Linked DNA regions of Macaca mulatta. The protein of the gene in region 3 interacts with the protein of the main gene of each other region in a pairwise test. Links are inferred from orthologs where the notes say so. Each region holds a gene or a part of one and is shown on either strand. Other genes may lie near its edges.

What was found.
Region 1: the proteins of CEP44 (region 3) and TXLNA interact in binary tests that used the Homo sapiens proteins (3 or more experiments, as listed by UniProt). The two-hybrid records come from large-scale screens. The link is inferred for Macaca mulatta from reciprocal best matches to the Homo sapiens genes CEP44 and TXLNA.
Region 2: the proteins of CEP44 (region 3) and RNF8 interact in binary tests that used the Homo sapiens proteins (3 or more experiments, as listed by UniProt). The two-hybrid records come from large-scale screens. The link is inferred for Macaca mulatta from reciprocal best matches to the Homo sapiens genes CEP44 and RNF8.
Region 4: the proteins of CEP44 (region 3) and CBY2 interact in binary tests that used the Homo sapiens proteins (3 or more experiments, as listed by UniProt). The two-hybrid records come from large-scale screens. The link is inferred for Macaca mulatta from reciprocal best matches to the Homo sapiens genes CEP44 and CBY2.
Region 5: the proteins of CEP44 (region 3) and AQP1 interact in binary tests that used the Homo sapiens proteins (3 or more experiments, as listed by UniProt). The link is inferred for Macaca mulatta from reciprocal best matches to the Homo sapiens genes CEP44 and AQP1.
Region 6: the proteins of CEP44 (region 3) and POP5 interact in binary tests that used the Homo sapiens proteins (3 or more experiments, as listed by UniProt). The two-hybrid records come from large-scale screens. The link is inferred for Macaca mulatta from reciprocal best matches to the Homo sapiens genes CEP44 and POP5.
Region 7: the proteins of CEP44 (region 3) and H2AP interact in binary tests that used the Homo sapiens proteins (3 or more experiments, as listed by UniProt). The two-hybrid records come from large-scale screens. The link is inferred for Macaca mulatta from reciprocal best matches to the Homo sapiens genes CEP44 and H2AP.

The regions. Positions count from the first base shown.
Region 1 is NC_133406.1:208,688,270-208,692,441, forward strand, and holds part of TXLNA (alpha-taxilin), read right to left. Parts: intron 3,440-4,172; coding exon 3,320-3,439; intron 3,089-3,319; coding exon 3,014-3,088; intron 2,535-3,013; coding exon 2,442-2,534; intron 1,769-2,441; coding exon 1,673-1,768; intron 925-1,672; coding exon 631-924; 3' UTR 1-630. UniProt on the Homo sapiens protein: May be involved in intracellular vesicle traffic and potentially in calcium-dependent exocytosis in neuroendocrine cells.
Region 2 is NC_133409.1:144,860,949-144,865,120, reverse strand, and holds part of RNF8 (E3 ubiquitin-protein ligase RNF8), read left to right. Parts: intron 1-1,160; coding exon 1,161-1,250; exon of another isoform or gene 1,251-1,282; intron 1,283-3,455; coding exon 3,456-3,563; intron 3,564-4,172. UniProt on the Homo sapiens protein: E3 ubiquitin-protein ligase that plays a key role in DNA damage signaling via 2 distinct roles: by mediating the 'Lys-63'-linked ubiquitination of histones H2A and H2AX and promoting the recruitment of DNA repair proteins at double-strand breaks (DSBs) sites, and by catalyzing 'Lys-48'-linked ubiquitination to remove target proteins from DNA damage sites.
Region 3 is NC_133410.1:182,747,183-182,751,354, forward strand, and holds part of CEP44 (centrosomal protein of 44 kDa), read left to right. Parts: intron 1-1,522; coding exon 1,523-1,729; intron 1,730-2,464; coding exon 2,465-2,540; intron 2,541-4,172. UniProt on the Homo sapiens protein: Centriole-enriched microtubule-binding protein involved in centriole biogenesis. In collaboration with CEP295 and POC1B, is required for the centriole-to-centrosome conversion by ensuring the formation of bona fide centriole wall.
Region 4 is NC_133422.1:24,969,507-24,974,359, reverse strand, and holds the start of CBY2 (protein chibby homolog 2), read right to left. Parts: upstream 2,939-4,853; coding exon 2,828-2,938; intron 1-2,827.
Region 5 is NC_133408.1:97,463,802-97,468,415, forward strand, and holds the start of AQP1 (aquaporin-1), read right to left. Parts: upstream 3,354-4,614; 5' UTR 3,297-3,353; coding exon 2,913-3,296; intron 1-2,912. UniProt on the Homo sapiens protein: Forms a water channel that facilitates the transport of water across cell membranes, playing a crucial role in water homeostasis in various tissues.
Region 6 is NC_133416.1:127,902,572-127,907,498, forward strand, and holds POP5 (ribonuclease P/MRP protein subunit POP5), read right to left. Parts: upstream 3,247-4,927; 5' UTR 3,227-3,246; coding exon 3,207-3,226; intron 3,122-3,206; coding exon 2,979-3,121; coding exon of another isoform or gene 2,860-2,978; intron 1,797-2,859; coding exon 1,647-1,796; intron 1,522-1,646; coding exon of another isoform or gene 1,476-1,521; coding exon 1,392-1,475; intron 1,294-1,391; coding exon 1,199-1,293; 3' UTR 927-1,198; downstream 1-926. UniProt on the Homo sapiens protein: Component of ribonuclease P, a protein complex that generates mature tRNA molecules by cleaving their 5'-ends. Also a component of the MRP ribonuclease complex, which cleaves pre-rRNA sequences.
Region 7 is NC_133426.1:37,817,569-37,821,268, reverse strand, and holds H2AP (huntingtin-interacting protein M), read right to left. Parts: upstream 2,173-3,700; 5' UTR 1,402-2,172; coding exon 1,048-1,401; 3' UTR 869-1,047; downstream 1-868.

The DNA.
Region 1 (4,172 bases), on a different chromosome or scaffold from region 3:
AGTGATGCCCAAGGGGCTCCTGACCAGCACATCGTCCCACACAGAAACATTCTCCAGGTCCCTGATCCTAGGCAGGAAATCACCAGCTCTGAGCGCCCTGCCAGGTCTCTGCCTAGGGACACCTTTTCCAGGTCCAGAGAATCAAAGGAGCCTCCAGAGCAGCTCGGAGGGCCTGAGCTGCCCAAGCAAGCCCTACTCACAAGAGAAATGCAGTCAAGACCTGGGTGTATCACTTGTCTTGAGCTCTGAAGGGCAAGGAGGGGTCTGAGCCTCAAGTCAGGCAGAGAAATGCTCAAGTCACTTGTCCTGCCAACTCACTGTGATGGCAGCTACAGATGACAGCCCCTCTCAAGACTCTTCAGCTGACAGAGGAGCCACTGACTTCATCTGTACACACCCCTATCCCCAATGCAAGCCCACTGTACACTTATAGGTATAAATGCATTAGGCCTTGCAATATGCCATATGTACGTAAAACTGACCCACAAAATCCAAAATTGCAAGTGTCAGATGCCAGCCAGGTCAGAACATCCTGGCTTCAGCAATGGGCTGCTCAGCATGGGAGCTTTTTATGGGCCAGGCCTGGCTGGGCTGCTGCTCCCTTCCCAGCATGCCCCAGCACCAGGCTCTCTAGGCTCTGGCAGAGGTGGGCTCTTGAGGCCCAGTCTGGCCTGATGCTTCTGTGCTCGGTGCTCCTGGGTAGCAAGGTGCTTCTGTGACCCTGGGGGAGCTGGGTGCTTGAGCCCCAGGCCCCTCTGGCCTCCTTTCAGGGCCACTGTCAGTGAGGGAGCCCTGGCCACCAGCACTCAGGTCCTGTACCCTCTTGTTCAGGTCATTGCGCTCTGTCTGCAGCGCCCGGCACAGCTTCTCCAGCCGTTGGATTTTTACCTGCAGGCCCTCCAGTTCTTTATCCCGGACTGTTTTCTAGGGAGAGAAATGAGACCTTCAGTGCCATGCCCCATCAACCTCCCACTTACCATCACTACTTGGTGACAAACACTTTTAACAAGGCTGGGAGCAGACTGAGTCCGAAGCTGGCCCCCTCTAGGAAACAGTCCTGGTTGAAGCCATGACTAGACTGTCAGGTGGGGCAGTGTGGTGCAGAAAAGGGGCTCGGCTTGGACATAACATATTCCTCCATTTATCTACCACATGACCTTGGCAAAGGACTTGGCTTTTGAGCCTGTCTCATCTGTAAAACAGGACTACTAATACCATCCTCGGATCTCAAGAGAAGGTTCAATGAACCACGTACCTAAAAACATTCAGCAGCAAAAAAAAAAAAAGACAAACCCAAAAACATTCAGCAAGGTCTGGCTTGTCGTTGCTGCTCCATCAGTGTTAGTTCCTTTCTTCTACATTAGAAGCCATGAAATCACAAATTACCTGGGCTGCTTTACATGTAAACCAGGCACATCACTGGCACCCCTGTTTTTTCTGCTCTTTTATTCCTTTCTTCCATTTGCTCCCTTCACTCCCACTGGAGACCTACCACTGGGCTCACCATCTCCCATGGGGAGAGAACAGCATTAACTTTGGACTTGGACAATGTGTGCAAATCTCACCTCTACCTCATGCTAGCTGTGTCACTGATGGGTAGAACACACAGGAAAGGGCCTGATATGCGCTAAGTGCACACCCCCACCCTGGCTGCAGATCACAGACAGCCCACCTCCTCAGCCATCTCAAGGAGGGCCTTGTTGCTGCTCTCCCACCGGGACCGGTACATCGTGGTTTCTTTCTCCAGCTTCTTGATCTTCTTAGTCATCTAGGTTATGTGACAGACAGAAGGAAATGGTCAGAGCCGGCCTCTCTGTGCACCTGTGTCTCCAAGGTGGGGACTGACTGATTACAGGGTGCAGTCAATGCCCTCTGTGCCACCTTACCACCAGAAGTCACAAGTGTCCACCACTAACAACAAGAAATGGTAAGGGGCCAGAATCCCAGCACTTTGGGAGGCCAGGGTGGGTGGATCACTTGAGGCCAAGAGTTCAAGACCACCCTGGCCAACATGGTGAAACCCTGTCTCTACTAAAAATACCAAAAAAAAAAAAAAAAAAAAAAAAAAAAAAGGCCAGGCATGGTGGCACGTGCCTGTAATTCCAGCTACTCAGGAGGCTGAGGCAGGAGAATCACTTTAACACGGGGCACAAAGGCTGCAATGAGCTGAGATCGTGCCACTGCACTCCAGCCAGTGAAACAGGGCGAGACTCCATCTCAAAACAAACAAACAAACAAAAGAAATGGCTGCCCCATTCCCCGGGACAACCTGGAGGGTATACACACCACTGATACTGCCTCGAGAGGGGAAAGGCTGTGAACTCTCCTAACAGCCCCACCCTTGAGACACCCCAGATGGGAGCTTCCTGAAGGCAGGCCCAACCATTTTGAATGAAGCAGCTTATGCTCCAGGAGCCATGCGTGGCCTGGACCACAGTTACCTTTTCCATCTCCTGCTTGAATGTGGTGAACACCTCGCTGCTTTTGGAAAGTGTGTTCTGGAACTCCTCAAACTTCTCTGTGTATAAGGCAAGCTGGGGGAGAAAGCAGCCCACAGATAAGATTGGGTTTCTCTGGGAGGCACTCTGGTCAACACACTCAGACCTGTCCTTGACCCTCTGACCCAGTAATTCTATTGAGATACTATTTTTCCTTAAAACAAAGCAAAGCTATGTATTTGGAAGGATATAATCCAAAATGCTAAGCCTGGAAAGTAGGAGACTTAGGGTGACTTTTATTTTGCCTTTATGTTGATTTTCAAACTCTTTTGTTCCCACCTCCTCAAAAGCAATACAACATTTCTGAGCTACAAATGAAATCCTCTGAGCCCACCTAACTACCTGGTCACCACCATATAGGTACTGTGCAGGTCCAGAGAGAACAAAGGCTCAACCAAGGTCTCATAGCAGCCAGGACACAGCCAGTCCTAGAATGAGGGTCCCATTTCACTACCCCCAGGATGGGGCCCAGTGAGGGGACCTTGAAGGCACAGGGTCAGGTTATATGCTCTCACCTGTTGCTTCAGGTGGGTCTCTTGCTGCTTCATCAGCTCACACATCCTCTGGGACTCTACTGCCTCTTTCAGGAGCTATTTCCAAGACAGAACCCCAGATCCTGTCAGAAGCCCCCAGGGGCTATGTTTGGTTTTTAGCCACAAGCACCAAACCCACCAAGGTTTCCTGCTCTCAGACTGATACTCAAGGAATCTGTGCCTGGTCTGGCCAGACAACTTCTCCCATATAACCCGGCTATGAACTGAGCCACAGCCCAACCTGCCTCCTCCCACACCCCCATCCCAACCCTTGGGCCTAAGCCTCACAAAATCCTTCTCCCGTTGGTGCCGCTCTTCTGCCTCCTTTAGCATCTCCTGGGCCTGCTGGAGCTTGGCATCCACCAGCTGCTGTTGTAGGTCCTTGTGTTTGAAGACTTTGTCGATATGCTGCAGCAAAGATGGTGGGAGCCGTCAGCTTGTCAGGAGCTCCTTTTCTCAGGGTGGCCCCACAGCCAAAGACCAGGGCACTTTGCCCAGCCCCCCATCTCAATCTGATATGCTGGACTCCCATGTGTACCACACAACATGGGCCCCAAGTCTCTGGAAGGTCATCTTTCCAAGCTCACCTCGTTTCTCTCCCAGTGAGTCAGACTTTGGTAAGTACATGGTTTATGGATGGAATCTGCTCCCAAGAAGCCAAGCAATAAACACACTCAAATCTCTGACCCCAGGATTGATCACCTATGGGGTTGGAAGCCCTCACTTCTGTGTCCCTGATTCTCTTGTAAATGGGAAGAATGGGCAAAAACAATGCTTCTAAGAACATGACAGCCTAGCTCAGTAGGCAAAGACTTGCTATATCTAGGCAAAGACTAGACATGTGCATCCCCAAGGAATGGCTGTCCTGCCTACTGGAGGAGCACTGGGGACTTATGTCAGGTGAGAGAGAAGGGATGGAGAGAAGGTGAAGGATTCAGGTGCTACTTCAAAGGTAAAATCAACTGGACTTGCTGAAATAAGGGAAAATAACTCCATTTTTTTGGATGGGGAAGGGAAGGAGCCTTGCAGGTAAGTCCAGTTTGGGTATGATGAGAGTGCTTGTGTCTATCTGGGGAGGGCTGTAAATGCAAAGCAGCAGGGCCTGGTAGTCCTGCAACTCCTTCTCCACAGGTAATACTAA
Region 2 (4,172 bases), on a different chromosome or scaffold from region 3:
GTGCAGCAGTGCAATCTCAGCTCACTACAGTCTCCACCTCCTGGGCTCAAGTGATCCTCCCACTGCAGCCTCCTGAGTAACTGGAACCATAGGCACGTGCCAGCATTCCCGACAAATTTTTTGTGTTTTTGGTAGAGATGGAGTTTCACAATGTTGCCCAGGCTGGTCTCAAACTCCTGAGCTCAAGTGATCCACTCAGCATAGCCTCCCAAAGTGCTGGGATTACAGGTATTATGAGCCACCATGCCCGGCCGTATTTTCCCATTTTATAGATGAGAAGGTTAAAATGCACATCTCGAATTAGTGAGTCAAGTTGAAGACCCAGGCCTTCTGATATAACTGCTTTTTTTTTTTTGTCATGAGATCACACATTTTAAAATTTGGTTCTTGAATAATATCTTTTCAAAAATACTTACCTTTACTCCAGCTTCTTTTTTAAAAGAATTTGAGGTGAGATTCTAAAGTATAAGCTATACTTAAGCATGGGAGTGCTCATAAATTATGTTTCATGTATGTGGAACCTCTTGACATTCAGCATAGGCATTTAGCCACAGTGAATGAGCTGTTAGTTCCTGGGTGTGCCTTCTTCCAGAAGACACTGGCAGGGTTCAGGCAGCATTATCTTATGAGCATGTAGTGTGTGATTTGTAGAATAAATAGGTTAAAGATCTTTTTTATTTCAATAAAAATGACTATTTAATTCCGCTGATTCCCATTTCCTCCTGATTATTTCATAAAAGCAGCTTCCAGTTCTGAATAGCTTGTAATTACTTACTAGTTCTTAAATACTGTTCCCAGAATCACTTGGGTGGCTTAAAAAAAAAAAAAAAAGCACATTTCTGGGCTCCAAGCCAAACCTATAGAAGCAGACTCTGGGACGCATGAAAGTTCTTCAGTTGACATGGATGTCCACCAATGATGGGTTAGTTTTAGAGGCCCCAGTACATTTGGTGGCCTCCTTCCCTAACTGCCCTCTCCTCTGAAAAAAGCAGCAGGTGGGTAACATAGCCCAATGGAATAAAGGTATTATTTTGAAATTGCCATTTTATCGATCCCTGAACCAAAGTCACTAACTAGAGGAAGAGAACAGGCATGTTTGTGGCTAAAAGGAAGGATGCATTGTAGTTCATCCTGAGTATGTATCTGCTATGTTTTTGCAGCATTGGGCTCTAATGGAAGAGCTAAATCGCAGCAAGAAGGACTTTGAAGCAATCATTCAAGCCAAGAACAAAGAATTAGAGCAGACCAAGGTACTGGAAAGAAGATGGAAGTTTAGAATTTGGTTAGTGCATGCAACTCAGCATTTTCAACAGTGTAAGGGTTGCTATGGAGAATGAAGAGAGAAATCATGGCTGCTCCTTGCCTCTGGGGAAATAATCTATAAGATTATAGAGGTCTATAGAAGATTCTGCCTGTCAGACAACATCTATTTCCTTCCCTTGTTCAGAAGCAAAATGCTAGGAATAAGGCACTTGCATCCTGCATTCTAGTCCTTTGTCTATGGTGGGTACTCCTTCAGGGTGTGTCACTGATACAGACTGAGGAATATTGTAGTCAAGAAATAGTTCCTCCTGAACTATGTAATTTGAATTACATAAAGTAAAGTGAATTACTTAATGCAATTCCTTCCTGTGTCAAATCAGGAGAACTCTTGAATTAGGGGTTATAAACTTAAATGCCCACCAGGGCCAGACTGGTAATCTAAGTGAGTGAAGTGGCCTGAATGTGAGAACACAGTAGGGAGCTGTGTGGGCTATGGTTCATTGGATGGGGTATTTGCCCACACCCCCATCCCAGGAGGCAACTCTTCTCTGCTCAGCCAATTGTTGCCGTCCAGAAGTGCAGGCCCAGTGTTGTCAGATCTTCTGATTTTTCCACAGCAGATGAAAGTCCAAATGTTTAAGTGAAATATCCCAAAGTTTAAATATTGGCAACAACTTCAGCTTTTTGTGTGTGTTTTCTTTAATGTGAAGGCCAAATTAAACAAGTCTGCAGGGTGGATCCAGTCCACAGGCCACCAATTTGCAACCTCTGACCTGACATTAATACCTGAGTCTGACTGCATCTCTCATCCCACCCCCTCCATGTACAGACCTAGAGCTGAAGGAGGGACTTTAGTTGGTTTGATTTCCTGTTTAAATCACATAATACCTTCCTCTTCAACCTCCAAGAAACTACCACATCTTTTTAAACCCAGTGATTCCTAAGTTCTCAGGGAATTTGACTATAGTTAAGGGGGTCCAGACTTTCTTCACTGCCCTGAGCAGTCTGCCAGTCTGCTTTGAGTGGAAAAGAAAACAAAAAGATGAAAAATGAGCCGGCCACTCAAATATACCTCAAATGGCCTATCCTGTCCCCCTCAGGGGCTCTTAATGCTTTCTGTTTTGGGGGTGAAGTGCTAAAATAAATGTCTGCTTCAAGAGAGCATACCTAGGATCCTCCTTAAAAAGCGTGTTCACCCGCAGTCTGACCTCTTGGGGAAAGCCGAGGAGATGGTACTGCAGGCCTCTGCAGGCGTGGGAAGTGGCAGGTATCATAGAGCATGGAGCCTGAAGGTAATTCAAGAGGCCTTTCTCCAGCCTTCTGCCTCCAGAGGTGTGCCTTACTTTATAGAAAAGGCAGCTGCAAAGAACACTTTAACTTTATAACTAATTCAAGTTTCCTGCCTCTCTGGACTATTCATGCGTCTTTTCTTGTCCAGTGAGTTTTTCATTATTTGGGATGATCTTATGTAACGTCCGAACTACGGCTTGCTATAAACTACTTAATGTCCCATCTGGTCTTGGGTGGTTGGTGTGGTTAGTATACCACCTGCATTTTTCTCATTTGACTAATTTTGGGGAAGGAGACAGAAACTGCAATGCAAATACTGAAAAAGTGGTGTTTTAGTCCATTCAGGCTACTACAAAAAAGACCCATAAACTGCATAGCTTACAAACAACAGAAATTTATTTCTCACAGTACTGGAGGTTGGGAAATCCAAGATCAAGATACTGGCATATTTGGTGTCTGGTGAGGGCTATCTTCTGTTTCATAGATAGAGTCTTGCTGTGTCCCTACATGGTAGAAGGGGCACATGAGCTCTCCTTGGGCCCCTTTTATAAAGGCCACTAACCCGATTTATGAGCATGGAGCCCTCATGACCTAGTCACCTCCCAAAGGCCCCACCTCTTAATACCATCACATTTGAAAATAAGTGTCAACATGGGAATTTGGGAGGAAGCACAAACATTCACACCATAGCAAGTAGGGAGAGGAAAGAAAGAAGGTTAGTGCTCTGCATTAGAAAACAATTATTAACAATAACCCTTAGGGAAAGTGTTCTTAATGTTGCTATACCAGAATGAATCATTCATTAAGACTGAATCCTCTTCTAAATAATTAACCCTGCTCCCTGTCCCCTTTTGCATTTTTGTTGGTTATCTGAATGACAGGTAGGATTGTGTGTCTTGCAGGAAGAGAAGGAGAAGGTGCAAGCACAGAAGGAAGAAGTTCTCAGCCACATGAATGATGTGCTAGAGAATGAGCTCCAATGTATTATTTGTTCAGAATACTTCATTGAGGTAATGAAGTTGCTCACCCCTTCTTTTTTTTTTTTTTTTTTTTTTTTTTTTTGAGAGAGTCTTACTCTGTCACCCAGGCTGGAGTGCAGTGCTGCGATCTTGGCTCACTGCAACCCCCACTTCCCGGGCTCAAGCAGTTCTTGTGCCTCAGCCTCCTGAGTAGCTGGGATTACAGGCACATGCCACCACGCCTGGCTAAATTTTAGTATTTTTAGTAGACATGGGGTTTTGCCATGTTGGCCAGGCTGGTCTCGAATTCCTGACCTCAGGTGATCTGCCCACCTCGGCCTCCCAAAGTGCTGGGATTACAGGTGTGAGTCACCACACCTGGCTGACCCCTTCTTATTCTCCCAACCCTGAATGGAGCCTGGGCTGTACAGGCTGCTTCTACTATAGGGGAACATTCTGAAGAGATTTTCTTCCAGGAACTTATAACTATTTGATTTCAAAGTGACCCCTAGAGATGACCATTTCTCATTTGTTTTTATAATCTTCTTTCCCTTCACTGTCCTTTTTTGGCATTTCATCTGTTCTTAAATGTTTATTTGGTATGATTAACATTTTTAGCTGCAGTGAAGCCTTTATCTCTTTGTTGTTGAGGGGAAAACA
Region 3 (4,172 bases):
ACAATCTACCTATCTGACAAAGGGCTAATATCCATAATCTACAAAGAACTTAAATTTACAAGAAAACATCAAACAACCCCATCAGAAAGTGGGCAAAGGATATGAACAGACACTTCTCAAAAGAACCCATTTATGCAGCTAACAGACACATGAAAAAATGCTCATCATCACTGGCCATCAGAGAAATGCAAATCAAAACCACAATGAGATACCATCTCACACCAGTTAGGATGGCAGTCATTAAAAAGTCAGGAAACAACAGGTGCTGGAGAGGATGTGGAGAAATAGGAACTCTTTTACATTGTTGGTGGGACTGTAAACTAGTTCAACCATTGTGAAAGACAGTGTGGCGATTCCTCAAGGATCTAGTACTAGAAATACCATTTGACCCAGCCATGCCGTTACTGGGTAAATACCCAAAGGATTATAAATCATGCTACTATAAAGACGCATGCTCACATATGTTTATTTTGGCACTATTCACAATAGCAAAGACTTGGAACCAACCCAAATGTCCATCAGTGACAGACTGGATTAAGAAAATGTGGCACATATACACCATGAAATACTATACAGCCATAAAAAAAGATGAGCTCATGTTCTTTGTAGGGACATGGATGAAGCTGGAAATCATCATTCTCAGCAAACTATCAGCAGGACAAAAACCGAACACCGAATGTTCTCACTCATAGGTGGGAATTGAACAATGAGAACACTTGGACACAGGAAGGGGAACATCACACACCGGGGCCTGTCATGGGGTGGGGGTAGCGGGGAGGGATAGCATTAGGAGATATACTTAATGTAAATGAGGAGTTAATGAGTACAGCACACCAACATGACACATGGATACATATGTAACAAACCTTCACATTGTGCACAGGTACCCTAGAACTTAAAGTGTAATAATAATAATAATAATAATAATAATAATAATAAACATTTCTATTACTCTTAATTGCCACAGACACCAATATGTCTGATGTCTATTGTTTCTGCTAAAACTTCTTTTTCTATGTTTCTATGTTTTGTGACTTCTATATATCTCAGTATATCAATATACAGTTGGCACTTACAAAAACTACCAGATGGCCATTGGACGTACTTCCTGTTACATGGCAAACCCAATAATCTCAGTGCACTAAGTGTTGTTTTTAGTCATTTCCTCTTAGCTTTGTGCTAGGTGTTGTTTCAAGAAGCTAGTTAATAATAGTTTTATTTTACTAGCTGGTATCAAAAGAATCATGCAAATTAACTCATTATCAGAAGAATCATATGAAGTAGATACTTCTTTTATCTCTCTCTCTTTTTTTTTTTTAATGAGGAAATGGAGGCATCAAGATCATAAGTCTCAGGACTAGTTTAAGTGGCCAAGTAGTCTCCCTCCAGAGATAAACCTTTTAACTCTCAAGCAGGACCGTCTCTCCTAACTATTGAGATAACACTGTGGAAGTGGGAAACATCAATTTTAAAGAAATTTTAGTTTGTTTAATTTTATTTTTAATCTCTCTAATCTTTTTAGGATATAAATGTTAATCCTGAGATTACTGCACTACAGACTATGCTTGCTGAATGCCAAGAAAAGCTTAAGGAGCTGACTTTGATAGAGAAAAGGTTAGACTGTTTAGAACAAAAAATGAAAGGAAATGTGATGGTAGATGAAAACACCTGGACTAATCTGCTCAGTCGTGTCACTCTTCTTGAAACAGAAATGCTTTTGTCTAAAAAGGTATTTTCTTCTTTTAACATTTATAAAATATCTCAGATATAACAAAGTAATTTTTTGATTGTTGTATGTGTATTTTTTTGGAAATGCTAAATATGAGAATATTTGAATAATGAGAAAATGTCTAGTTAGAATGAAGTCCTGTTTAAATATAGCCTGAATGGTGTTGTGGCTGTTGTTTCTCTCTTCATTGAATAAGATGATCTGAAAAACTTGTAAGTTGAGCTTTTACAGATGTTAATGATGCTTGAAGAACTTAAAATGAGGTAAGAGTATGATAGATATTATGAAAAGCTTAGAATTATTTTGTATCTTTTAATAGTACAAATGACCTATTTTCGTAGGGTGGAAAAGATACAGAAGATATTGATAACTCTTCCTGTCTTTTTTTCACTCATTTACTTCAATCATTGTGAATTTCATAGAATAGTTACCAAATTTATCATTGCCTTATCAAATCTGAGAAATTTGTTTCTTTTACTCAGGATTTCGATTTCTGGTCTGTCTTTCCTTCCTAAAAAGTGAAGTTGATAGATTCAAGAAGCTTGCTATCTGCTTCCATATTTAAAACATTTCTTATATGTAGGAATATACAGTATATGCATTGCTTTAATACAAAATTAAAAATATTTAAACATTTATCATGCTACCTTTATATTTTATGCTCAGTAGTAAGAATATAAAATGAGAGGGTTTTTCTTTTTATTTCATTCTGAATATTTAACTGTGTTATTCCAGAATGATGAATATGTAGAGTTTAATGAAATTAATGAAGACTGCGCTTCTTGTAGCAACATGGACCTTCTGAATCCTCGTAAGTTTGTAAACATTATGAGAATTGGTATGATGAGTTTTCAGAAAAATGATTGTTATAGGTATTTGGTAATTTTAATATTCTTAAGCTTCATTGTTTAGAAATTGCAAAGCTCCTAGAACAAAGAAAATAATGAACCTATAGACTACTAAAGCCAAGAATTGCTTATGAAGCCAGCCTACTTATTTTACATAACACAGTGGGTAAATAAATTTCAGTGTACAAAATTGAAACTGTTTAGAGATATTTTACTGTTTTAATCATTCTAGAATAATCAAGTGTTCTAGAATTTTAAAATTGACCTCCAAGTTTTTAAATTTAAGCTTAGGTAGGTAGTAGCTTTCTCATATGTAAATAATAATATGTAAGAGAAGAAAACACATTTGTCAGTAACCTATAAAGTATTGCAAACCTCTTCCATGTGAATGGTTCACTGATAATGATAAAATGGGAAAGATCTGATATTAGAACAGGTCTTTTCCTGGTCACATAACTTTACTAGGCTAATGATATTTTGCTCAGTGTGACTGAGCAGCAAGGATAAGATTTCTGTTTTGCAGTGACAGCTTTGTTTTTTTTGATTCTTACATTTTTTTAAAAGACAGATCTAAATTTTGTGCCGTGTCTATGATTAAATCATATCCATAGAAGAGATGTTTTGTCCAATTGAGAATTCATCAAGTTAAATTTTTAATATCTGGATCGTTAACATAAAATCTTTCAGCTTTACTATATGTGTAACAATAAAATAACAATATATATTCTAGCACTAACAGTGTGCCTGGCACTATTCTAACTACTATATTAACTCATTTAATTCCTGAAGTAACCATGCAAGATAAGTACTATTTTTATATTTTACAGTTGAGGAAACTGAAGTACACAAAATTAAGTAACTATGACAAAGGTCACACAGTTATTGAATGGTAGATCAAATTTGAATCCAGGCAACTGATCTGAAGTTTTTTCTTAACCACTGCATATTTGGAACACATATCAATATCATTGCACAAAGAACAATTTCAGTGATTAGGTTATTAAATATAATTATTTGAGATGCTATTTAAGGCAACTAAATTTATTATAGACTGCAGATTTCAGATTTGGTAAAATGTTGCCTGTTTTATTTATCCATTCATATATCTATTCAACAAATGTTAACACTTGAGTATAAGATCCTTGAGAGCAAAAACTTTATCTTATGGTCTGCCTGTCTAGCACACAGAAAGTGTATCTGTGCTTTTATCACCAGTATTTGCATATAGTGGAGTTTAAATATTTATTCACTGAAAAAATATTGAATGCTTGTGATTTGCAAAACATTGCCTTTTGCAAGTTTGATTTTGCATGCTCAGGCCTATTTTTTTTTAATGACATGATTATAGAATATACCTTTAACCTATTTAGAAAACACATGGCTAGGTTTTTTTTGAGATAAGGGTGGTCTTACTCTGTTGCTCAGGCTGGAGTGCAGTGGTGCAATCATAGCTTACTGCAGTCTCCTAGACATTAACTCTTTGGCCTAAAGTGATCCTCCTGCCTCAGCCTCCTGAGTGGCTGGGACTACAGGCACGTGCCTCTACACCTGGATAATTTTTATTTATTTATTTATTGTTTTTAGTAAAACGAGGT
Region 4 (4,853 bases), on a different chromosome or scaffold from region 3:
GATTCCGAGATTAGTAGGTGATTGGTAGATGGAAATGGGAGATATGGAAAGTCCCAAAGAGTAAGAAATCAGTAACTAACAGAAATTTTTGAGTTTCGGGATAGCAGATAAGAAAAGAAATTTAAGCTGCTGAAACTCCCTCCACTTGCGAGATCTAGAAAAACCTGGCGGAAATTGGTTGGAACCAAAATGGCTGACTGGAGCTTGCACACAATAAGCTTGCTGATGTCGTAGGCTGAATTTCCACCACATGTTTTGTACTAATTCCCCCTGAATTTGCACATGCAACTCAGGAGTTAACATGAAGAAATAACTGTGCATGCCCAAGGACTTTCCAGACCTCCCTTTTCCTTGTACCAATCACCTGCTAATCTCAGAATCCACCCCCTGAACCTTTTCTAATAAAAATACTGCTTTAATGCCAGCACAGAGAGACAAATTTGAGCTTGACTCCTGCCTCCTTCAGAGGTGACTTTTAATATAAAGCTTTTCTTTTTTTCAAAAACTTGGTGTCAGTATTGGCTTCTAGCATATTGGGCAGTGAGCCCCTTTTGCTTGATAACAAACTAGAACCCCAGGTGAGACGAACAGCCTGTTCAAGGTACTGTTGCCCCTAGTGGTGTGCAGGCCCCCTGCACTGATCCTGAGTAGCCACCTAGACCAGTGCGTTCAGAGGCTCAACTATAGGGTTCCTGCTTCTCTACCATGGCACTTCAGGTTCCCTTGGCACTTTTCCTTTGGGAAAAGAAATTGCTTCTGGATTAGACATCTTTCTGGTGAGTACCTTGTTAATACATACCTGTACTTTTAATTGTCTTTGAACTCATCATAAGGACTGTGGGTTCAGGTCCCACCCTGTGGTTTAGGATTATGGATGAGAGTCCCACCCTTGTCTAGGACTGTGGGTTTGAGTCCTACCCAAGGGGGATTCTGGTCAGGTTAGAGTCCCAAATCTGGTGTATGTTCAAGTCACAAAGAATTAAGGCAATAGTAAAAAGCTGCAGCCACTGAGATAATCTAGTCTGGTTCTGATTTTTGTTGATCTGTCTGTATTTTTGGTCTGTGTATCAATGTTTGGCTTAACAAAGGTTAAAGACTGTGATGGCTCCAGCAGAAGCCTTATGAGAGCTCCAGAGTAGTTTATCCGCACACTCAATTAGAACAAAGCAACTCCATAAACTAGAAAACCTGAAGAAAAATGGCACATGGAAAAAATGTCAGTCAAACCCTCTTTCTTCTTCTGCCCCTAAAGAGTTGTCATGTAGTCTTCTAAGTTATTTGCCTGTCTTTTCTTCTTGACTACTTTGAATCTGCTGACTTTTTTACTAGTGTTGAGATAAAACTTACTGTTCATGGTATTACTAGTTTAAGGTTACTGGCTAAAGAAAAAAAAAATGAAAGAGGTCTTTTAAAATCAAAGTGCCATGGAAACTGCTTTGCTCATCAGGGCAAATAAAGTTGAGCTATGTGAACAGGTTCTAATTTTATCAGGAAAATAAGTTTGATCCAACTGTCTCGTTTACGCATATACATGCATTATGTTATGTGTTGTTTCTATATGGTATCAAATGAGCTTATAAATAAAAGAGTACTGATACATTAAATAAATAAGCCCAAAAGCTTTTCAAGTTCATGTGACTTTAATAATCTTTGGAAAATAAAACCAATTTAAAATTATTGATAAAATAAAAATAGATATGTCTTCAGAATTGTCAGCATGTGATTTTGCCTGTGTTTACTGGTCAGCTGACATGTGCATCTGCTAGTTATTTTAAGATGTCCAGGTTTGGCACAAAAGTCACGAAATTATAAACCTAGCCAAAACAGAATAATCTTTGTTTACGTGATTCTTTTGATAAATAAGACTAATATTGTTGGTTTAATGACAACAATGAAATCCTCTGATTTATCAGCAAAATATCCATGTATTTCACTTCAAAGTTCTTACTTAGGTGAACACCTGATATTCACAAGCTGTGAAATGGTTAACAAGGAAAAAACTTAAAATGATGACCAGCTTTGTCTAATATCTCTGTTCTCATAACTAATCTAGATAAACTGTTAAAAACAAATAAATTAGATAAACGTAATAAATGAAATTCTTATGTTTTTGAAAATCTTGAAGTTATCATACTTACTGAGCAGCTGGGTCACTTCCAATTAAGAAAATGTATAAGGAAATGTTTCTAAAGGTTAAAAAATGGTTTTAAAATACATAAATTATAATATTTTATCTATAAAATACTGATATATGACAGACAATTCAAGAGTTCTTACCTCCTAGGTTCTTCCCTAAAATAAGGATTACTAAGAGTTAATATTGTGACTTATATATGTAATTGAAACTACTAGATACAAGAGAAACAATTCTATATGCAAAATGTATAAGAAAAATAGGATGTGTTTTTGGTAAACACATAAGAAGACAGGAATATGGTTTTCATTTAAGGGCAAGTAATTTTGCCTAGTTTAGAGGTTCTAAAGGATTGTTTTAAATTGAAGGAATAAAAAAATTATAGATAAAACTAAATAAATATAGAAAGTTAAAGAATGAAAATATAACAAATTGGAAGAGGTTATAAAAGGTTTACGGAAATCTTATCTTGCAGTCAAAACTAACTGAGATTGAATAGATTTGTTTATAAGGTCTTATTAAAATTAGCTGTAATATTAAAAATGCACTAACACAAAACTAAAAATTTTGGTTAAAGCCACAAAATTTTTTGAAGTATTGATTTGCTCTCAATGATATTGCAAGAAATATTGACTTTAAATTCTAAAATTAAAATGTCAGATTTATATCTCAGAAGTTCAACTTTTCCTGTACCTTGTTACATATAAGTTGCAGATCACATTCATTATCTTCTGTTTTTTTCCCCTTGAAAAAAACATATCTTTTTGCTTGGCTGGTCTGATAACTCTTCTTCAACTTTTTCATGAACTCCTACAATTTTTTACCCCAGCCCTAATGCTGTTCTTATGGCATAATGCTAACATATTTATCTTAAAGTTTAGAAAAGCAATGTTTTCCTCAAATGTAATATAATCTTATACTCTTGGCTTTATGATATGTCTGAATTATTTTGTATAACCAGGAAACCGCCCATGTAACTTTCTGTTACTTACTTTTGAGGTCCTTTGACTGTCATGCTAGTTAAATGAATAACTATTATTTTAAAATGACCTGTAGTTCGTTTTGATCAAATGTTCTGAATCTTTTAACATCTTTGGTAGGATTTATCTGGTAAAGTTGTATGGGAGACATTATCAAATGCTAAATAATACTGGATCTTCTTTTGGTTATGTTTATGGGTGCGCTATTGATATAAATGTACTAAAAATTACATACGTTTATAAAAGTCTCACATGCTATGAGTCGTAATTTTGATATGTTAAATCTTTTTAAAAGTTATATTTGTGTAGATACATTATTAGTAGAAATATTCTTAAGATTATATTATTATAAAAATCAGATGGTCCTGATGTGATGCTGTCAGTCATGGTTCTGGTTGTTATCTTAAAATGCTACATATAATAGAAATAACTACATTTTCCTGACAATTGACAACTTTTATCAGGTTTTAGCCATGGCTAAGTTTTTGTAATCCACAGTTATTGTTTTGAATTCTTCTCTAAAAAGCTTTCCAATCAGCTACAACCCAAATTACTTTTCATGCAAAGGACTCTGATCAGTACTCTTAAACACAGATTTCTGATAACTTTGGAGATAATGCCATCAGACTAGGAAAAGTCTTCCAGGGCTCTGATTAAAAAGTTGCATGAGAATTGCTAACCCAACATCAAACAGAACAAGAATTAGCTACATGGGACTGAACTGATAGAGGAATAAAAAGATCTTTTATGACATTTTTATTTGAAACATTGATGATCTCTTATGTTTTGTTTTCCTGAGTCAAGAAAACATTTTCCTTTTGAACCGTTTTTAACTTACAACACATTAGATAAAATATACCTTTGTGAACAAAACTTTGAGGCATTTACCTTTCTCTCTGCTCTCTCCAGAACTTGGAAGCTGTTTGTGAGTATTCTCAGTTTATGGCAATATATTATTTGCATTAGTTTTCAATAAAAAACTATTTTCTTTGGTAATAGAACACAATTGGAGACACTGGTTATTTTACTAAGGCTTTGACTGGAATGACATGTTTTTAGGTATGACCAGAATGGAGGTTAACTTTAGAGCACCAATAAAAAAAGCCTCTTAAAAAGACTGGCCTGGTAGCTGGTCTGTAAGGTTCCTTTACAAAGTTTCTGTCCTCGCAGTAAGTAAAAAATGTCACTTTCTGATAGGTCCAGCAACCTATTTTGGGACCCTGAGAAAAGAGGAATAACACATCCATTCATCTAGGTATTACAGGCACAATCTGACGGCAAATCCTTGGGTTGACTGATCTCAAGGCTTTTAAAAGTCAGAAATTCCTTATTTTAAAAGGTCCAGCAAAGCCCATTCGAAAACAAAAGCCTATATGGTGAATCATTATTCTTGCTGTACTTTATGCAAATAATCAGGTCAGGTATAATGAGACTAGAACTTATTTTACATACAAATTGATCCTACAGTGATTTGTCTTTGGTAAAAACGGGGGACTGGAGAGAGAGAAATTATGTTCAAAAGAAAACGATAACACACCTGTCTGACCAGTGGGCCAAAGCTTTAACTTCTATAATTTGTCAGGGACCCTCTGTGCACCTCCTGGATATACTTTTTTTTTCAGTGTGTCAACCACCCACGGGCTTATGAACGTGCTGACAGCTGGTGCATGAGAGGCATTTGTCTGTTAGGTTATCTAGCTACTCTCCTTTCTATTTATATTGCCAGTGTTACTCAACAC
Region 5 (4,614 bases), on a different chromosome or scaffold from region 3:
AGAATGAAAAAAGCCGGCAAATACCAGGAATCCTGAGTCCACCAGCATCTCCTACTTCTCAGAGCCCAGCCACACCCTGCTATGTCACTATCTCATAGACAGGAACTAGGGCCACACAGGCCGGTCTGTTGTGTAATGCCACATGGTATTAGTGGCTGAGCTAGGACAGGGACAGGCAAGAGTGTCCACCCCAGCCTCAGAGCCTCTCACCCTTGGCTAAAATTGGTATATGGCTCTTAGTACTAACCGGGACCTTGCAGGCCGGATGGAGGCCCACGGTCTCTCTAGGGCGTATCCTGAGCCCTGACTCAGTCAGGAGAAAGTTGTCCCCAACATGTCCCGAAGGGACACCCCCTGACTCACTGCAACCACTTCCTGCCACTTCTTTCTCTGTTTTCCTTGGAAATCTCCATGCCAACCACTTGCCCCACCCAGGTTTTGGCCGGGGTGGGGCTCAGGGCCAGAGAGGCTGCAGGAGCCTCCCCCAGGTCATGAAGGACAGTGTGTCACCTGCTGCTCAGACGGTTCCCTGCTCCTCTTGAGGCATCCAGGCCACGCCTGAGACCCCTCCAGTTCCAGGGCCAGTGTCTGACGGGAGCCTTTAGGGGGGTACCTTCTCTATTTCTAGGCCCAGAGTTGAGCTTCTGACCCCCACCCTTCCACTGTCGGGACAGGGCAGTGCCTGAGCCCCCACCATCATGCTTAGCACCCTTATGTTCAGCACTGCCCCTGCTGGGCTGCTCTTAGCCAGCCTTTGTGGGATGCGTGATAAGCTCAAAGCAATGAAGTGAGCTGGCTGTCTGGGTGTGGCTGTGAGGTCACAACACTTAAGTCCCCTCTCGAGGGTCAGGGTCCACAGCTCCAATAAAGCTCAATAAGTTAGCAGCAGACAGGTCTTGAACCCAGGTGTCTGCCTCCCAGCCCAGGGCCGGCTCCCACACTAGGCTGCTCCTCTTTCTCTCCCATTTGCAACACGCCCAGCCCAAGTATTGGGGTGACTATAAAAAATGAAGGCCAGGGAGGGAATGGGGCACAGGAGTCGGGTGTGGCCTCTGATCCAGATGGCACAGAAGGGGCCCGCCCTCCCGCCTCTGGCTCGGATGCACATACTAGAGTGTGAAGCCTCTGCCAGCATGTGCAGAGGTTCTGCCCTGTGAGATGGGAGGGACGATATGGGGTCAGAAAGTCTAGGAATCACATCCCCTCCCCTACAGGGACGCTTCCCCAGCCCAGCATACCCAGCCAAGCTTCAGTGTGAGCTTGACCCTACCCAGTGGAACTCCCCGAGGCCACAAGCTCTGCCCCCACTGGAAACTGAGGCCTGGGGGCAGAGCTTGACATGGCCTGCCTGAACTCTGTCCCGTACATACCCCGCAGCCACGTCTAAACTGGCTAAAGTCTAAACTCCAGCCCATGGAGGTAATCTTCAATCTTGGGCCAAGCAGAGGTTGGCTGCAGAGGAGGCTGGGTGAGGTGTCACCGTGACACAAAAGCGCTAAGCCCCCCGTGGCTGGGCTGAGCCAGCTGCCCTCTGCACCAGACCTTCACCTAGCCTCCCCCAGGCTGTCAGCTGCAGGATCTGAACTTTGACTGAGAAGCGAGAGGACAGCTGCTGTAATCACTACTGCCATCTCTGAGGCGCCCTCCGAGATGACCCACACAGTCCCCACACCCACCTGCCCTGCCTACAGCCCTGCCAGCCTCATCTCTCCAGACAAGTCCTCCTCTCTGCTCCTTAACCTCTCCCTCCCTGTGAGGGCACCCCAAAGCCTGCTCACCTGTCCCTTGGGCCCTCAGACATCCTCCAAGCCTTCCTCAGTCTCTCAGGCCAAATCTCCCCCTGCTGTTGCCCAAGCCCAGCCTGAGTTTGCACTTGTCTGAGGAGCTGGGAAAGGCCAGGTCTGGGACAGCAGGCGGCTGCCACCAGCGGCCACTTTGCCATGCTAAGCAGCCCAGGAGACATTCTTTTCCACAGCTGCCACCCAGTCACCAGCATCTGCTTGTCATTAGTGACCCCAGTCCAGACCCCATTCAAGCCGGGAGCCATGGGCACGTGTGGTTGCAAACTCACCCCCACACACCCTAACACAGCAGCACAAACATGCACACAGTTTACACAAGCACAGAGACTCATGCTGGCAGACGCATGCACACATACACACCTTCACACACACACACGCACACGTACATGCACACACGCACATGCGCGCACACCCACCCACACACACACACACGCCACACCTCTCAGTGCCTGGAGACCATGGAGCCCAGCACTTGCCCCCCAGCCCATACTGTAATCCAGGAAAACTGCCTTCAAACAGCCCCAGAAAGAGTTTTCACTGCCTTATCTTTGTCTAATTCCCAGGGGCGGAAGAGTGGAAGACGGCCTTTCTCTGGATTCCTAGAGGTGGTTTGTTTGGAAACCTGTGTGAACATGGGGGGCTCCCTGAGGGAGTCCTGTTCACACACCTGCAGAACCAGCTGCAGACAGGCTGGGCATCTGGTTCAGGGTGGCTGGGGAAAGCGGGCGAAGTTTCCCCAGGGTGCAGGGCTGGGGGAGGAGGGAGTTGGTGGCACAGGCAGGACTGAGAAGGGCCAAAAAGCTACAGCCAAGGGGCGAGGAGCTGCTGGCCAAGCTTATTCCCCATAATAGATGCCCTGCAGGGGACATTGGCAAGACCATTATTCTCTTGATCTCAGCTTCCCACAGTGCCTGGCAGAAAACAGGCTCTGGGAGGCATGCATAACTGAGTTCCAGCCCCAGCTCTCCCCCCCGGCTCTCTATGTGACCTCCAGCAACCTCTTGTCCTCTCCATTCCTCAGTGTCCGCATCTGCACGATGGGCAGAGGATGGAACTGGTGCCTTTCAGCATCATTCTAGAACCCCCCAAGCTCGGGGACACCCCACTCACATCATTGCGGCCGAGCGAGTTCCCAGGCAGGGAGGAGGTGATGCCCGAGAGGATGGCGGCGGCGACGATGGCCCCCACGCACTGGGCGATGATGTACATGAGGGCACGGAAGATGCTGATCTGGCAGCTGAGCAGCAGCCCCAGCGTGACAGCCGGGTTGAGGTGGGCGCCACTGATGTGACCCACGCTCTGTGCCAGCGTGGCGATGCTCAGTCCGAAGGCCAGCGACACCTTCACATTGTCCTGGACCACCGTCTGGTTGTTCCCCACCGGGTATTTGAAGCCCAGGGCAGAGCCAATGCTGATGAAGACAAAGAGGGTCGTGGCCAGGAACTCGGCCACCACTGCCCTCCAGAAGAGCTTCTTCTTGAACTCGCTGGCCATGCTGGCAGGGGGCTTGGCCTGAGACCGCTGCCGGGTGCTCAACTCCCTCTGAGAGCTGAGCCACAGCCTGGGCTGGGCCTATTTATAGGGCCGGGGGGCGGGGGGAGCACAAAGGGAGGAAGGCCTCTCTTCACTCCTGGCCCGCCCCACACCGCACGGACCTCCTCTGGATGGATGCAGACACGGCTCTGCTGTCCGCCTGCCAACTTTTTCCTTCCTCCTCTCCCCCTCCCTCTCTCTCTCCCTCCGCCCTCAGCCCTGCCCAGCCCAAGGAGGCAGGCAGGAGGCAGCCGTCGCTCTAATAGGCTTTGGGAAATTCTTCCAAGCTGGCCCCACTCACGGGACCAGAGAAATCCAGGTGTCTCCGCCCTGTGTGCAAAGCTCAGGGGGTTCCTGAGGACACAGCCAGGTGCTCCAGAGTGGGCGGGGTGGGCGGGGTGGGCGGGCTGGACTCAGTGGGTGGACGTTGCCCTCCCTGGAGGCAGGCACCATGATCCTGCTGGCCTGACATCCCCATCCCAATCCAGAGAGGCACTGGTCTGGAGTCCCTGGGCCCAGGGCTCCAGAGGGGCAGTCAGGGCCTCCCACACGGCCACTGCATGCCATGTTAGGGATGTCCCAGAGTCCCCAGTCTCCCCGAGCCAGGCCTCTGTGGATGGGGCACGGAGGCATCAGAAGGTGCAGAGAGGTTGTCTGTGGCTGCCCTCCACGCTGTGGTTGGGGACAGGCCTGAGCTAGGCAGAGCTGTTAGAAAGCCGCTACCCTGGGAGCTCCCAAACTTCTCCAGAGCAATTTGAACCAATGATTTGTGGGCAGGTTGGTGAAGATGGGACAGTTTAGGACTTTCCTCTCAAGGCAGTCACACTGGTGGGTCACTGGGAAGGTGGAAGGAACGGCAGCCCCACCTGGCATTGGAAGGTGATGGAGAGGAGGGAGGGAGGGAGCAGGAGAGAAAGGGAGAGACAGAGATGCAGGCTGAGGGGAGGAGAAGAGACAGACAAGGAGAAAGGAAAGACAGTAGCCAGGAAATAGAGCAAAAGTGGAAGCGAAAGAGACAGACCCCCAACCAGAGACAGTGAGACAAGCAGGGCCAAGAGAGACAGAGAGAGCGCAGAGGGCTAGGAAAAGACAAACCGAAACAGGGAGATAGGACTGGACCCAGAGCCAAGAAGTAGAAAGGGAGAGATAAATGAGGAGAAGGAGAGACCAGTAGGGGCCAGACGAGCCCCTGCAAAGGGAGGGGCCGAGGCCCTGCTACGGACCCCCGCGGGCCCCCTGCGCCCTGGGCATCTCCAATCCAGAGGCCCAGCGCCAGCCA
Region 6 (4,927 bases), on a different chromosome or scaffold from region 3:
TGCAAAAGTTGCATTGTTTGTTTGAGATGGAGTCTCCCTGTGTCACCCAGGCTGGAGTGCAGTGGCGCAATCTCAGCTCACTGCAAGCTCCGCCTCCTGGGTTCATGCCATTCTCCTGCCTCAGCCTCCTGAGTAGCTGGGATTACAGGCACCTGCCACCATGCCCGGCTAATTTTTTGTGTTTGTAGTGGAGACAGGGTGTCACCGTGTTAGGCAGGATGGTCTTGATCTCCTGACCTCGTGATCCGCCTGCCTCAGCCTCCCAAAGTGCTGGGATTACAGGCATGAGCCACCGCGCCCGGCCCAAAGTTGCATTTTTGCAGTTACCTGATTAACTGTTGGCAAGGAATCTGGTATCTATAAGACCCTGTGGTTCAGTACTGAGACGGACTATAGATCTCTGCCAGTTCATTTGCTGTGTCTCAGCTAATATTTCTATTCCAAATGACTTGTCTTGCTTAGGGCCCATCTTGGGGCCGGGGGTACACAGCTTCAGGTAGAAGGCTAAGTATTGAAAATTTAGGCCAGGCACAGTGGCTCACGCCTTTAATCCCAGCACTTTGGGAGGCCAAGGCAGGCCAATCACTTGAGGCCAGGAGTTCAACAGCAGCCTGGCCAACATGGCAAAACCCTGTCTCTACTAAAAATACAAAAATTAGCCAGGTGTGGTGGTGCACGTCTGTAATCCCAGCTACTTGGAAGGCTGAGGTGGGAGAATTGCTTGAACCCGGGAGGTGGAGGTTGCAGTGAGCCGAGATTGGGCCAGTACACTCCAGCCTGGGTGACAGAGTGAGACTGTCTCAATAAAAAAGTTTAGTACCACACAGGGAGTCACTCTTCCCACCAAGGCTAGGGATAGAGAACAGAGACTTAGCCAAGCATGGACTCCATAAGCCCTTTTTGTAACATAAGTATACTAAATGCCACGGAAACCAAATACATTTATTAAATCTACTCTTAGCCAAGCAATAAAGATGTCTACATAGAGTTCACAACCTGCAACACTTAACCAGGGAATGCTAGGTAAAGGCAACTTCAGTTTAACTGAGTACTCTATTTCAAGTGGGTAACATGTCCGCTGGTTGGCAGCTATCCAGCTTGGAAAACTGTAGAAGATGCTGTTGCTACCCAGATTGTTCTGTTCAACAAGTGGGCCCGAAGCCTGAGCAGTGTAGCCTGCTGTGTGGTGAGCAGAGGGTCACTCCATTGCTTCTGCAGCCTCCTCACCTGACTCTTCCTCCTCCTCTAGTAAGCAGCTTCTTGTCACAGACTTCTGGATAGCTTCCCGCTCTCCTGGAGAAGGCAGATAGGGATGAAAGATGTCTTTGGGAGTGATTTCTTCAGCTCGAGGTCAGTCACTGCTCAGCGGGCACTGGGCTAGTATTGCTTACCTTCATCAGTGCAGTTCTGCAACAAGATCAACAGCTGTCTCCTGTTGTACTGAATTAGGAACTTCTGACATGTTCTTATTGTACCTGGCATGTGAGTTACTGCGGTCAACAGCTTGTGAAAGGTCTCGACCTTACTTTCAGAGGTAGGGGAAGTGTCTTGTTAGCGGGACAGCAGGAAGACCCACCCACCAGTCTAGACTGAACTCTGAACATGTCACCTATTGAAAATCAGTAGCCGTATCACGTCACTCCTACCTCCCACATGTAACGTGTTGAAAAAGCATGGGTAACGGTGTCCTTTGTTCTCCAGGTATGTGATGAAGGGAAGAGCTGACCACACAAGCTGATAGAACTCTTTTCTGCATCGAAGTAGCACTATTCCAGTATAGGCATTGAGGTATCGAACTACAACAGGGAAAAAAAAATCATTTCGGAAAATTTTGCTGTGTGTGGTGGCTCACACCTGTAATCCCAGCACTTTGGGAGGCTGAGGCGGGCAGATCACTTTACGTCAGGAGTTCGAGGCCAGCCTGGCCAACATGATGAAAACCCGTCTCTACTAAAAATACAAAAATTAGCCGGGCGTGGTGGTGCACGCATGTAATTCCAGCCACTCAGGAGACTGAGTCATGAGAATCGCCTGAACCCAGGAGGTGGGGGCAGCAGTGACCTGTGATCTCCCTGCTGCACTCCAGCAGCCTGGGCAACAGAAGACTGTCTCAAAAAAAAAAAAAAAAACAAAAAAACTTTAGAGTAACAGAGCACAAGTGGCACGTAGGATCTTTCAGCGAGTAAAAGAGAAAAGCCAAAACACCCACTGTGTTGCACACCACTCAGAACTGGTGAATGAATTTAGAATCTAACATGCTTTCTAATTCACTAGTTAATTCAATAAATAGGAGCAGGTAGGAGGGCGATCCATTTTAATTTAGGAAAAACCCTCGCCTGAAAAATAGGCTGTTTTACTGCAGTTGGGCTCTGTAATTCTTGTAGCAGTCAGCTGAGTCTCACCTGACTTAAGGATGAGTTAAGCCTATCTGCATTTAACTCTCCAGAAGTCAATCCTCAAGCAAGGTAAAAGGGGGAACTAATATAAATGGTGTGGAAGAAGGGCCCCGGGCCCCTCTTTGTCCCGGCTCATCCTGTATTCACATATATTGACGATCATGTGTTCTGTACTTTACCAACTAAGGGCATTCCCAAGGATACTTTCGACAATTTTTTTCCATGTGATGTTAATGTAATCGGTCATAATAGCTCTTACTAGGAACTAGATACAGCTTCCCTCATTTAATTCTCTATCCTATCAAATTCAATCACAACCAATTACAGAAATTACCTGTCAAGCAGGCAAAAAGAGGCCTCTAGCTCAAAGACCCACTGCCTTCGGGCCCCTCCTTTTAGCTCTCTGCTAATTTCGGACTCGTGTGGATCTCTCGCTTGCGGTCCCCGGCGCTTAAAGAGATACCTTACAAAAAACGATGCACGGGCTTGGCCACTCGTGCCCCTTCTTTCTTCCTCCGGCGCCTGCCCCCTCCACGTCCCGCCATCCTCCCGGGTTCCCCTCTTCCCCCAACGCTCTCGCACCCGCGAAGCCGATGGAGCAGGCGGCTGCGCCGAAAGTCCCGTGCACCCTGGCGATAGTGTCCCGTACGAGGCTGCTCAGAACTCGGTCATCGAGGCTTAGGCGGCAGCGGGGGTCGTCAGACACCAATTCGCAGAGCAGGTACCTGCGGCAGGCGAGAGGAAGGTGGGCGCTAGCGGCGCCGCGGGGACCTGGCAAGGCGCTGGGTGGGTCTGGAAGGGAATGCTTACCTGTGCTTGAACCGCACCATAGCTGCCTCCGCGCCGTCGGGATCGCTGTGCAAACCGGATGTGGGTTCCGTCCGCGGCCCGTGGGAAGCTTACTTCCGCAGCCTTTCAGCCATTCAGAGAAGGAGACAGGACATGCGGGCGGAGCTAGAAAGTTGAGAGGCCGAACTCTGTGTCAGTCTCCCTCAAGCCCCACCTAACTCTGCGTTTGTAAGCGCGCATGCGTCCTGCGGAGGGTCTCTGACTAGTTTGAGGGCTGAACTTCGGCTTGGAGCGGCTGGGAGCGGTTTGGAGCGGCTTGCAGCTGCGATGGGTGGTTTTGCTGCACACCGGAGTTTACAATACTGTGTAGGATGCAACCGCTGCCCTTGGGGCCCTGGGAACCTTGCAGCACAGGTATGTATGCGAGTACATTCTCTCCCCAAGGTGAACCGTGGAGTTTTTGAGGGCAAGACCCTGCACTTCACAGCCCAGGGATTGACAAACGGGAAATCGGACTCTTATTTTCAGGTTTGAGCTCAGTTTAATTCTTCCATGCAGCTAAATGTGCTATTGCTGTTTGGGCCTTTCAAAAATCTTAGGGAGGCGAGTGTGCTGTCTCATTTTTTGTTCGCAGAAACAATACGTGGTCATTGTATTTTCCATTTCTGTTTTCCTTTCCTTTTTATTTTTTTTTTTTTAACAGAAAAGCACAAAGAAGCAAATAAATTATAATCCCAGCACTGAGAGAGAATAACTGTTGTCGTGTAGTGTGTTTTCTTCTGTCATTTTCCCCCTGGGCCAGCGGTTCTCAAAGTGTCGTCTGGGGACCCCTGAGATTTCCTAAACTCACTCGGTTTAGGAGTCCCCGAAGCCAAAATTACTTTCATAATAATACTAAGATGTTACTTGTCTTTTTCATTCTCTCAGAGTGAACAGTCAAGTTTTCCAGAGGCTGCTTGACGTGATGATATCACTGCTCTAACAGCTAATGGAATTGTGTATTTTTTTTAAACATTTCTCAACTTTAATGTCCATAGTAAATATAACCCACAAAACTAAAAGCTCTTGGGGATCCTCAGTAACGTGTGTAAAGGGGTCCTGAGACAGAGAAAACAGTTTGAGAACTATGCCCTCTGTTAAATTATGTTTTTTCTTTTATTTTCTTTTTAAGTATTTTTTTAAAAAAGTCTTATGTGGTATTACATAAAATACATATTCTTTTTTTTTTTTTTTTTTTTTTTGAGACGGAGTCTCGCTCTGTCACCCAGGCTGGACTGCAGTGGCCGGATCTCAGCTCACTGCAAGCTCCGCCTCCCGGGTTTACGCCATTCTCCTGCCTCAGCCTCCCGAGTAGCTGGGACTACAGGCGCCCGCCACCTCGCCCGGCTAAGTTTTTGTATTTTTAGTAGAGACGGGGTTTCACTGTGTTAGCCAGGATGGTCTCGATCTCCTGACTTCGTGATCCGCCCGTCTCGGCCTCCCAAAGTGCTGGGATTACAGGCTTGAGCCACCGCGCCCGGCCAAAATACATATTCTTAAGTGTACATCTCAATGAATTTTTACATATGCGTAGACTTCTATAACCACCTCCAAGATTAAAGAGCACTTCCAGTATCCCAGAAGGTTCCCTGATCCCTCTTCCAGTCAAACTCCCTTACTGCCACTATTACCATTTCTACCCTGCTAGATTAGTTTTGCCTGTTCTTAAATTTTATATAAATGTCCTCCAGCATGTTTTCTTT
Region 7 (3,700 bases), on a different chromosome or scaffold from region 3:
CTCTTTTAAACTTAGCACAGAGCAGGAAGTTTTGAAAAGGATTGCACATGCTTTAGAGGCCGTCACTTGGGACAGAACTATTTCTATACCTCTTAAAACATGTATTGAGTCACTAATAATTCTTTGGTGCTCTATGCAATATATAGTAATTATAATGAATAGGTATTTAATTTAAAAATGAAATTGTTAATTGTGTTTTAAATGAAATACATATATAATTAAGCTGATTCATTAATAATTAACAACCATTAAGAACTTCTTGAATTGCCCATCTTAGGCCAGATCATAAATTTTATGTATTATTATGATTTATTTTACCAGTGTCCTGAAGAGAGGACAGAAAGATATATTCACAGCACTAGCTACTAATCCCTGTCTCAAATCCTCTTTCATAATAAGTCAGGGCATAAAGAAATAAGAAATGAAATCCAGCAGGCCATCATTTCTTTTTTGCATTTTTCATCATGGTTTCTCCTTCACTCTCAATCTCCATGTAAAGTCCCTATCCCATGAACTTCATGCCAGCCAGTGTGCCCCCTCTCCACCCGCCCCTGTGGCCACCACCCTCTGCCTCCTGCACTTCAGTCAGAGTCTGCAGCTCCACCCCAGGCCCCAGCATCAGGCTGGGAATTCAGCAAGCCTCAGAGGCCCCCAGCCAACTCCCCGGCCTCACAAGGCCTTCCTGTTCAGAGGCAATTAGGAAGTCTCGGTGTCTTTATCCCAGCCAGTTCCTCCCCACAGGGCCCGTGCCCTCTCTGTCACCGTTGGAAACTGCCCCCTCTAAATCACTGATTCAAACACTCCACACTGGCCACCACTTCCCGCCCCCCCCCCCAACTTCAGCTCTCTGGGGATAGCTTCTCCTTGATGTCTCACAGACACCTACAACCCAAAAAGACGGAAACTGGAAGGAGTCAGAAACATACTCATGGATTTACATCCTTTAGTAGCACTTGTTGATGACAACAGCAGATATTCCTCAGCTGTGACACATTTTTGCCCTGGCTAAGCCTGTGAGGATCCCCTCAAGGCTCTGGGACCCAGTCTTCAGTCATTCTTTCCGGATTTGGGCATCTCATCAAACACAAAGCGGGTTCCATCACTCTCAGTGCGGTGGGGCTCATGGTGGTTGTCCCCTTCTCTCTCCCCATCTTGTGAAGTGTTGCGCATCCTGCCATTGTTGATGGCCTCCAAGCCTACCTGCTCCATGATGTAGTCAGCAAGGCAATCGAGCAGGGTAAGGAGGATATTTATTGTGGAGGAACTCTGGCTTTGGGCATCTTGTTCATCTTGCACAACTCGGTCCACGAAGCTCATAGGGACCCGCAGCTCATTTCTAGACCGGTCTTGAATCTGGTTGTTATTTGCAGAGGAGTTCTTACGGTTATTTTTCTCTGACATGATATTTGCTGGGTTTGGCTCTGATCAGCTCTGCTTGATTCTCCAGCTCAAGTAAGTCTCTGAGGACGCTGGTGCTGCCTATTGGATCCCTCTGCTCCAGGCCCTGATTGGTCAGGGAGCTAGCTGCCTTTGTGACATCCCTAGGCTTTGTGATTTCACTGGTGTCCACTGGTCCCTGATCAGACCTCAGCTTAGAAATGTCTGTGACACTGATCTAGTCACCCTAATGACTGAACCCTGATTTTGAGGGAACTATAACTCTTTACCTGATTTTGACATTATAAAAATAAAAGTGTGTTTCAATGGAAAACTTTGCTCTATCTTTAGGACACCACTGCAGGTTATCTGATTCTAGCCTTACATTATCTGTGAAGTCTTTTATAGCCTTTTGTTAGTTGTAGGTGGCTGATACGTGTACAGTATATTCTTTAGTAGAGGTTCAGTTGTCTTCACCTTATGAAACCAGTTTTGCCTCCATGTGCACAATCATTTAATATTACTGATGAATATTCCCATATCGACTCTTTGGTTTCCCTTTTGAAGCAGTCATAACATCTTTTTCTTGTAGCATGTGTTCATTTCGTATCTGTATGAGTGTCATGATTTTACCCTATTTGAAAAATGCATTTTATTTATTTTTTTATTTTTATTTTTTATTATTATACTTTAAGTTCTAGGGTACATGTGCACAATGTGCAGGTTTGTTACATATGTATACATGTGCCATGTTGGTGTGCTGCACCCATTAACTCGTCATTTACATTAGGTATATCTCCTAATGCTATCCCGCCCCCCTCCCCCCTCCCCACAATAGACCCCAGTGTGTGATGTTCCCCTTCCTGTGTCCAAGTGATCTCATTCTTCAATTCCCACCTATGAGTGAGAACATGCAGTGTTTGGTTTTCTGTTCTTGCGATAGTTTGCTGAGAATGATGGTTTCCAGCTGCATCCATGTGCCTACAAAGGACACGAACTCATCCTTTTTTATGGCTTCATAGTATTCCATGGTGTATATGTGCCACATTTTCTTAATCCAGTCTGTCACTGATGGACATTTGGGTTGATTCCAAGTCTTTGCTATTGTGAATAGTGCTGCAATAAACATACATGTGTATGTGTCTTTATAGCAGCATGATTTATAATCCTTTGGGTATATCCCCAGTAATGGGATGGCTGAGTCAAATGGTATTTCTAGTTCTAGATCCTTGAGGAATTGCCATACTGTTTTCCATAATGGTTGAAAAATATATTTTAATCATTTTTCAATTAATAATAAGATGCTCAATAAGTTTACCTGTCAGTGTCAGGTAAACAGTTGATAGGGAAGTGCATCTTTTTTTTTTTTTTTTTTTTTTTTTTTTTTTTTTTTTGAGACGGAGTCTCGCTCTGTTGCGTAGGCTGGAGTGCAGTGGCCAGATCTCGGCTCACTGCAAGCTCCGCCTCCTGGGTTCACGCCATTCTCCTGCCTCAGCCTCCCGAGTAGCTGGGACTACAGGCGCCCGCCACCTCGCCCGGCTAGTTTTTTTTTTTTTTTTGTACTTTTTAGTAGAGATGGGGTTTCACCGTGTTCGCCAGGATGGTCTCGATCTCCTGACCTTGTGATCCGCCCGTCTCGGAGAAGTGCATCTTGTGCTCAGTTTAAGCCCAGATGTATATTTCTTGTCTCTCCTAGGTGAAGCAAAAGCACTAAGAGATGTTTCTTTTCTATTATTTAATTTTCCTTTCTAGTAATTCTGTGTTTTCCCTTTGACTTTGGTTCATTTACAGCCAATAACTTTGCCATTCCATAGGGGAAAAAGTAGAAAGAACAAAAGAGTCTTAAATCCAAACAATTTCAAAATCCAACCATTAGGTTTCAAGGCCTGGGAATATTCTATGACTTAAGACTCCTCCCTTTGATCACTCTGATCCTATGACTTCACCTGGGGTCATAAATCTGCCCTCTGGCCTCTAGGTTCTGCCCTCAGTCATTGTTCCTTTATTTTGAATGGTAGCATATGTTTACAGCTGAGTAGTTTTATCAGCCTGCTTTCTCCTGTCAAATTTTGGGAGTCCTATGGCCTTCTTTCATTTCTTCCTCTATTTGTCCCTTTCCGTCTAAGCTGGCATTGTTTCTGCTGATATAACATTCTCAAAAACTTATAGGTCTTTTATGTATGTCATGGGGATTCATGTGATTAGACAAGAGGTTTCTTCAAGATCCTTCATAGACAATCCCTTGCTTATTCTGAGAAGCACACCCCATATCTCTTCAAAACACCATCTGTGTGATTGAATATTTTGATCTTTTGATCCCTTA